Linked DNA regions of Oreochromis niloticus. The protein of the gene in region 1 purifies or fractionates together with the protein of each later gene. This does not show direct contact. Links are inferred from orthologs where the notes say so. Each region holds a gene or a part of one and is shown on either strand. Other genes may lie near its edges.

Region 1 (3,753 bases):
GCTTTTTAGTTATTTAATAATAAATAGCCTAGTTATATTAAATAGGTACTAATTAGGAACAAGAGCTAATAAGACTTTCTAAGTTAACATCCTTCCTCACTTAATTTAAATACAGTTTTTAGATCTGACTGATCCATGTGTATTCACTGCCCTCTGCTGAGCAGAAATAGAGACATCTGAAAACAGTGATGGCAGATGTGTTTTTTAATGTCTGATATGTTGGCTTATATTGTTAAATAGGCTGTAGTCAATAAGATATAAACAAATAACCTGTTTTGAATATATATATTTATGACTTTGTGTTATTCAGATATATTTACAGAGCAGTTAGCTGCTGCTATTTCTGTTGCCCTGTCGCCAATAAGACAGTGGTTTACTGCTCCTCATTGTCTCCAGGATGGTTGTGGCTGTGCTACAGACGGTTTAGATAGCCATAATATTGTGGTACAGGTTCTTTGAGGCCCTTTTTCATAGATCTGCTGTATGTTACCTGTAGAGAGATTTTTGTTCTTTTCATTTTTTTTTTTTTAACATTTTATATATATCAAATATAACTGTGCAGATCAACTGAATGGGTTTATGAACAAGGCACAAACCATAAAATGTTGAAAACAGCTTGTTACAGGATTCATCGCTGGTCATATGTTCAACCCAATGACTGTAAAAAATAAAAATAAAAAAATGTCTCGTTAGTATTATCACACAATGTACAACCGGATGTTCCAATGTTCCAATATTCTTGTTTCTGAATCTGTGAAAGAGCTCACAGTAGAACCCTGAAAAGGAAGCTAAATACGACCCAGATGGGACTCGAACCCACAATCCCCAGCTCCGGAGGCTGATGCCTTATCCATTAGGCCACTGGGTCATTACGTCGCACAGGTAGGGAAAATTCAGTCATGAAAATAGAAAATCGAATATGTAGTCAGTGGTATAATTCATTTAGTTGATAGTAAAAATTGCATGTATTTTTTATTTAAAAGAGGAATAATTAGCCATGATAAAATTTACAACCCAGCAATAGCATTTAGCACAAGAAGAACAAGCTACCGCACAGAAACGTTAACATGTTTTCTCGCGATACTGACAGCGGTTGCCTTTGACAACATATTTGTTGTTTGATGGTTTTTTCCTTAAACGTGACCAATGAGGCGGTGCTAAAAAATCCAACTGGCCAATTAAAAATCAGAAAAATTGGAACGTTGTTACGTGACGTTGTGCATATATTAAAAGAATACAAGAATTCTGAACGGTAAGCACGTTGTACATGCTATGTGGCTAATAGTGCATTTATTTGTTTTTTGTCTAATTGAAATTGCTATTGACCTTTTGTAATTGCTAATACAGCGTATAACCTTTGTTTTCTGAGCTTCAGCGGGTTTTTAGATTATTAGACAGACCCTATATCTGAAGGGCCACATGGTGTTAGATAACCGGCTTGGCTTCGAGATAACCGCCTGGTTAGCTAGCTCAGCGCCTGCTTACTAGTTGACACCTGAAACTAAAAGCAACCGTGGCTGCTGCCGCTTATTCTTTGTCGTTGTGAAATTATTACAGGTAGCGCCTGATTTTAGTGGAAGCGATTGTGTTGCTCAACGGTCAGGAATGTCAGCGGGCACGGACAACGGAGCGAGACTCAACCAGTTCAAAAATAAAGGAAAAGATGCTGATGTAAGCTCTGAACCTAGCAGTAAACGTCAGAGTTAATTCGGTATCCCAAATGCCCTGAATGCTGTGGTATATCTTTTATTTGTCTGTCGGTATGATCAGGAGCTGAGGCGCAGAAGAGCGGAAGTCAATGTGGAGCTGCGAAGAGCCAAGAAGGATGATCACATCCTCAAGAGGAGAAACGTCCACAGCCTTCTGGACGAACCAACGTCCCCTCTGCAAGAGAAAGACCCCAACGTAAGGGTAATCAGCAGCTCCTCTGTGTTTTGTTTGGCTGTGAGAGTAAAGGTGACCCACCTGATATAACCACAGCTGCTTAACTTGTTTGAAACATTGGATTATTACAGAAGTTAACTCGTTATAAACAGGATGTAACAGCCTCCAAATGAACACCTCTGCAGAGCATGCACACAGGAAGAAAAAAAGCTAAGCCTGCTCAATTTGCGAGCATTATCCAAAGGTCACTAAATCTTGGAGCAGGTGTCTGTCTGGTGATAACAGACTGTTGACTTTTTAAAAAGTTGTATCTCTGATAATTTATGAAAAGTCCATTTATAATTGATCTATGTTCCCCTGATTGAGTTACCATGACCTAAAAACATTCAAAGCAAGTTCCTCTAAATGTGTTATTTTTAGCTGCTCTGGTTTTATTGGCAGTAATCCCCTTTCATTTCTCTTTCTGTTTTCATAGCCTCCTCATCACTGGACTGTAGAGGAAATTGTCGGAGGTGTAAACAGCGAGAATTTAGATTATAAGCTGCAGGCAACGCAGGCAGCCAGGTAATACTTGTAATGTTAGGTTAATTGACTGTGTGTGGGTGTGGAAGTGTGAGACAGTTGCTCAGTGACAACCTCAAGCTGGAAGAAAAAAAAAGGTTGCGTAACGAGGCACTTGTGTTTTTGTAGTGTATTATAGTGTACATATTTTTTTTATCAGTGCAATTTGCACCACTCTGTTGCACACTCAGTTTTTTACTTTTTTAAACTTAACCTCATTTTTTTTTTTTTTTTTTAAATTGGTGTCGTATATATATGAAATGTTTGCGCTTTCTCCCAGTAAAAGGGGCTCACTATGGGCCTGTGGCACTTTAACTTTGTTTATTTGTTGTACACTGTACTATTCTTATTCTTTGTCCTCCTTCTGTAACACTCTCTATCTGCCTGTAGTTATATCACTGGTATTACTATATCAATGATATTAAGCAGTGTGAAAACTGATTTTCCTTTACTTTTAAGTTACTTCAATTTTAACAACGATCCAACTCTGTTTTTCTGATTCACAGAAGGCTACTTTCCAGAGAAAAACAGCCACCTATTGACAGCATCATTGCTGCTGGACTCATCCCAACGTTTGTTAGTTTTCTGGCGTTGTCTGAATGCCCCCCCATCCAATTTGAGGCAGCTTGGGCCCTGACTAACATTGCCTCAGGTACTTCAGACCAGACTTCTGCTGTAATAGATGGAGGGGCCATTCCAGCTTTCATCAGCCTGGTGACATCACCCCATCAGCACATCAGCGAACAGGCCATTTGGGCTCTGGGTAACATTGCAGGTACTGTGGCTCACAAAACTCAACCTCTTTCTTTGGATTTGATGTGATTTGATGTACTTCTGTGCATTACTACATCCTACACTGTTCCAGGTGTATGTTCTGATAGTTTTGATGTCAGGATGCGTTGTAGATTATTGTGGACAATTGTGCCCACTTTAGTTCATCTGGAGTTCCATTTAGCCTGTGATATTAAAGGCTTTAGAGTGCATTTCTGTATGTATACAGTAAAAAGTGTGTTGTTGCTGAGTCCCACTTTGGGTCCATTTTCCAAACGTGATTAAGCTAAAAACTAGAAGTCTGAAATTTTATCTTTGCTAACCTTGTGTAGTTTCAAAGTATCTGCCTTTATGTGCCTTTTTTCTGATTACTCTAAAGATGTTTTTTTCCCTCTATATTTAGGTGATGGGCCCAGTTCCAGAGACCTAGTGATCTCACATGGTGGTGTCCATTCACTCCTGGCTTTGCTGTCAGCCCCTGACCTGTCTGTATTTCCTGTGAGTTTCTATCAAATATTATTGTGCCTTTAACAGACA
Region 2 (3,753 bases), on another chromosome or scaffold:
TCTTTCATAGTAGCAGCAGTCTGCACAACCTCTTTGTCAGTAAACATGTTTTGAGACTTACCACGGTTCACGGTGTCTTTGGCTGAGTTGGGTAGAGATTTACTGGGTGAGCTTACTTTCTTGCCTTGCACCATGTGATGTTTAACTGGTAAAGTTTTCCTAGTGTTAACGTTCACAGTGGGTGCCTTTGATGGAATACGGGGGAGTGGCCTCTGTGCTAACATGGGTGACAAACCAGTAGGAATTACACCTGGACATTTGCTTCCTGGTCTTTTAGATAGATTGCTCAAATTTTGTTGGTTTGGGTGATTTTGGGTCCTTTTCCTGTCTGGCACCATGAGATTAACTGGTATATTTTTCCTAGTGTTAGTACTCACAGTGGATGCCTTTGATGGAATACGGGGGAGTGGCCTCTGTGCTACCATGGGCGACAAACCAGTTGGAATTACAGCTGGACATTTGCTTCCTGGTCTTTTAGATAGATTGCTCAGGTTTTGTTGGTTTGGGTGATTTTGGGTCCTTTTCCTGTCTGGCACCATGAGATTAACTGGTATATTTTTCCTAGTGTTAGTACTCACAGTGGGTGCCTTTGATGGAATACGGGGGAGTGGCCTCTGTGCTACCATGGGCGACAAACCAGTTGGAATTACAGCTGGACATTTGCTTCCTGGTCTTTTAGATAGATTGCTCAGGTTTTGTTGGTTTGGGTGATTTTGGGTCCTTTTCCTGTCTGGCACCATGAGATTAACTGGTATATGTTTCCTAGTGTTAGCACTCACAGTGGGTGCCTTTGATGGAATATCAGGGAGTGGCCTCCGTGCTAAAGTGGGCGACAAACCAGTAGAAATTACAACTGGACATTTGCTTCCTGGTCTTTTAGATAGATTGCTCAAGTTTTGTTGGTTTGGGTTATTTTGGGTCCGTTTCCTGTCTGGCACCATCCTAGTTTTAACGGTCACAGTGGCTGGCTTTGGTCCAGTACGGCAGGCTGGCTTCTGTGGTAACTTAGGCAAAGAACCAGTAGGAACTGCACAGAGACAGCTGCGTCCTACTCTTTTAGATTTATTCCTCATTTCTTCTTTTTTTTGGCCAGGGTTTGGTGTGACTTTTGGCAGGCATGTTTCTTCTTGCGTTCCCACATTTGAGAAATGATGTATCTCATATGTGACATAAGCCAGGCAAATGGTAGAAGTTTTACTGCTTTCACCAGATGCACTGGATTTTTCTGTCATTTCTATTCTGTTTTTTTCCTCACTTTCAGGCATTTTAGACATGTTTTCGTTGGGTGTTTTTCTTTTGTTTGTTTTTTTAAGTGGTTATTCTCTTGTGCTAAATTTTGCTTTAGTACAGATGTTCTGTGTAGAGCAAAGTAATATGTCTGTATAATTAAGGATCAGCTTCTATTTATGCCTTTCCACATTCTATGATCAAAGCCACATGCACCTGATGTCATGAGGCATGTTCCTTTGATCTTATCTTTCAACATTCTATGACAAAAGCCACATGCACCTGATGTCATCATGATGTTGGCCTGGGCAACCGCCCATGTCGCCCATATCAAAAACCGCTACTGTGTGGTTCAAAATTCGTTGCAGGTACTTTTTATGAGGGAATTCTTGGCCTATGTCAAAACTGGCCTAAACCACGTTGTCAAAGCATGACACGTGAACAGCATGTAAGGGTTAATATAACTAAAACTTGTTCAAACTTCTCATCAAACGTAGTTTTAATTTATGCAGATTGTAACGACCATGAATTTACTTTAACTGTCTATAATAATTAAAATTATACCACACAGTCCCAGTCCTGTCCTGAAGCCAGCCCTCCAGTCCAGCAGGTGTCGGCCATGTTTCAACGCTCGCCAACAGCCGCGAAACTTCTCAACGAAGAAGTAACGAGCTAGTATGCTAGCCTAGCTGCAGAAATCATTTAGCAAAAAATATGGCTGCTGTGCTCCCCGTCAGGCCGCCCTGCGATAGCAACCCCGCTACCCCCGGAGCACAATCCATAAAGGTGACATTTGTACGCCATAACAATATTAATAATACTAATAATAAAAACATGAGTCTCTGTTAGCTCAGTTCCCTCGGCTCTGCACGGCTATAGCCTGAGCTAATAGCTAACTGGCCATTTATGGGACACTTTAGTCCATGATTGACGATCAGTAGCCACATTAGCGTCACTCCTTTGTTTTCAGCTGTGTAGTAATTGGTTAGTTAGCTCGTTCGGTTTGAATTTCCTCGTTTTATGTATCTGCAGTGATCTGGTCTGTGTACTTTTTGAATGATCTAAGTAAAAACGCGACGTTTAATGTTGTAATATTATAAGTGATTTGACAATTTGTGCTCCTTCTGTCAGCCAGCTTTGGCGTGTAAACTCATACATTTGTTTTGGTCTGTATTTAGCACCATTATAAATTAACTCTACCGTCAATAATATTCAATAAAGCTTCGTGTTTATGTAAGAGGGGAAATATCCTTATCTGAAATAATTTTTTAGTGTGTTTCAAAATGAACCCTCTGTATTAAACCGGCTAAATCTCTAAATGTTTACTTTTGCAGTTGTTTAAAAAGTTTTCATCAGGCCGGGAAATACTATCATGTCTAAAATAGCAGTAGTGTGCACTGTGTGTGATTTTTATCTCATGCCTGAGGAGCATATACAGAAAAGCACACTCAGTTTAAATACACTCTGTGATTCATTTATAGTAAAAGTATGCACTGCTCAGCCATTAAGTGGGCCTGATTTGTGGATACAGCAAGCTAAACAGAGATGCCCAGACCTCTCTCTCCCCGGCCCCCTCTTCTATCTTTTCTTGGTGGGATTCTAAGATGTTACCAGGCCAGCTGAGAGAAGTAATCTTTCCAGCACATCCTGGGTCTTATCTTAAAATATGAAACAACTCATCTAGGAGGTCACATTAACATGGTGTCAACCAAGTAATCCTGGGAGCTTCTAGTGGGGTCTCTCAAGGCAAATTGGTCCTACGCGATGATAGAATGTAAACTCTGTCAGGAACCAAGTGGGTCAGATGGGCCCACCACTTGCAGAATCACATGTTAAAATTTGCTGTAGCAACAGGAAGATGAATCCTGCAATTATGAGTCCTAGGGTTCAGGTTTACCAAGCAAAAATTAATTTGGGCTCTATTCATTTCTGTGTCATGAAAGTGTCCAATACAAAATCAGAAAGCTCTTAAAAGTTTTGTGGATATACTTCATGCTCTGGAGTTTTCAAACATCACATTATGTAATGTTAATGTTAAAAATTAATGTTAAAAATTAATTCTGATTTTTCTTTTCCTCTGTAGGAGGATGTCATAGAAGAAGTGTCCAATGATGGCAGCCAACCTCCCAAGAGAAGGAGAATGGGCTCAGGGGACAGCTCTCGAAGCTGTGATACCTCAAGTCAAGATCTTGGGTAAGCTGGTTTAGCATTCAGCAAGAAACATCCACTGGCATAATTTTCAAGCATTCTTGACAACCAAGTAGGACAGAAAATTTGTTGTTACCATATGTCACATTCTTTTTTTATTTTACTATATCCCCAAAATATACTTGTATATGATAAACCCTAAAAGCTGTAACTGTCAGTATTGATGTCTATTTAGTTCTTCCAGTGGCGATTTTCTTGTCTATATCAGCTAAGATTAATCTCACAAAATCTTTTCCAATCATCAAACTCTGTTGTCCCTCCAACCTTCCTTTCCAGTCCGACGTATTTCCCAGCAGAAAACCTGACGGAATACAAATG

The links. The genes of interacting proteins can lie anywhere in the genome.
Region 2: the proteins of importin subunit alpha-1 (region 1) and phf10 purify together in Homo sapiens (co-immunoprecipitation; 3 studies listed by BioGRID and IntAct, with this or other methods). This does not show direct contact. The link is inferred for Oreochromis niloticus from reciprocal best matches to the Homo sapiens genes KPNA2 and PHF10.

Annotation. Positions count from the first base shown.
Region 1 is NC_031971.2:28,190,638-28,194,390, reverse strand, and holds the start of importin subunit alpha-1, read left to right. Parts: upstream 1-1,106; 5' UTR 1,107-1,252; intron 1,253-1,263; exon of another isoform or gene 1,264-1,557; 5' UTR 1,558-1,605; coding exon 1,606-1,671; intron 1,672-1,770; coding exon 1,771-1,911; intron 1,912-2,359; coding exon 2,360-2,448; intron 2,449-2,951; coding exon 2,952-3,220; intron 3,221-3,619; coding exon 3,620-3,714; intron 3,715-3,753.
Region 2 is NC_031965.2:25,545,974-25,549,726, reverse strand, and holds the start of phf10 (PHD finger protein 10), read left to right. Parts: upstream 1-1,540; 5' UTR 1,541-1,675; intron 1,676-1,798; 5' UTR 1,799-1,941; coding exon 1,942-2,022; intron 2,023-3,310; coding exon 3,311-3,420; intron 3,421-3,711; coding exon 3,712-3,753. Other genes in the region: mucin-17-like, read right to left, coding at 1-1,274. UniProt on the Homo sapiens protein: Involved in transcription activity regulation by chromatin remodeling. Belongs to the neural progenitors-specific chromatin remodeling complex (npBAF complex) and is required for the proliferation of neural progenitors.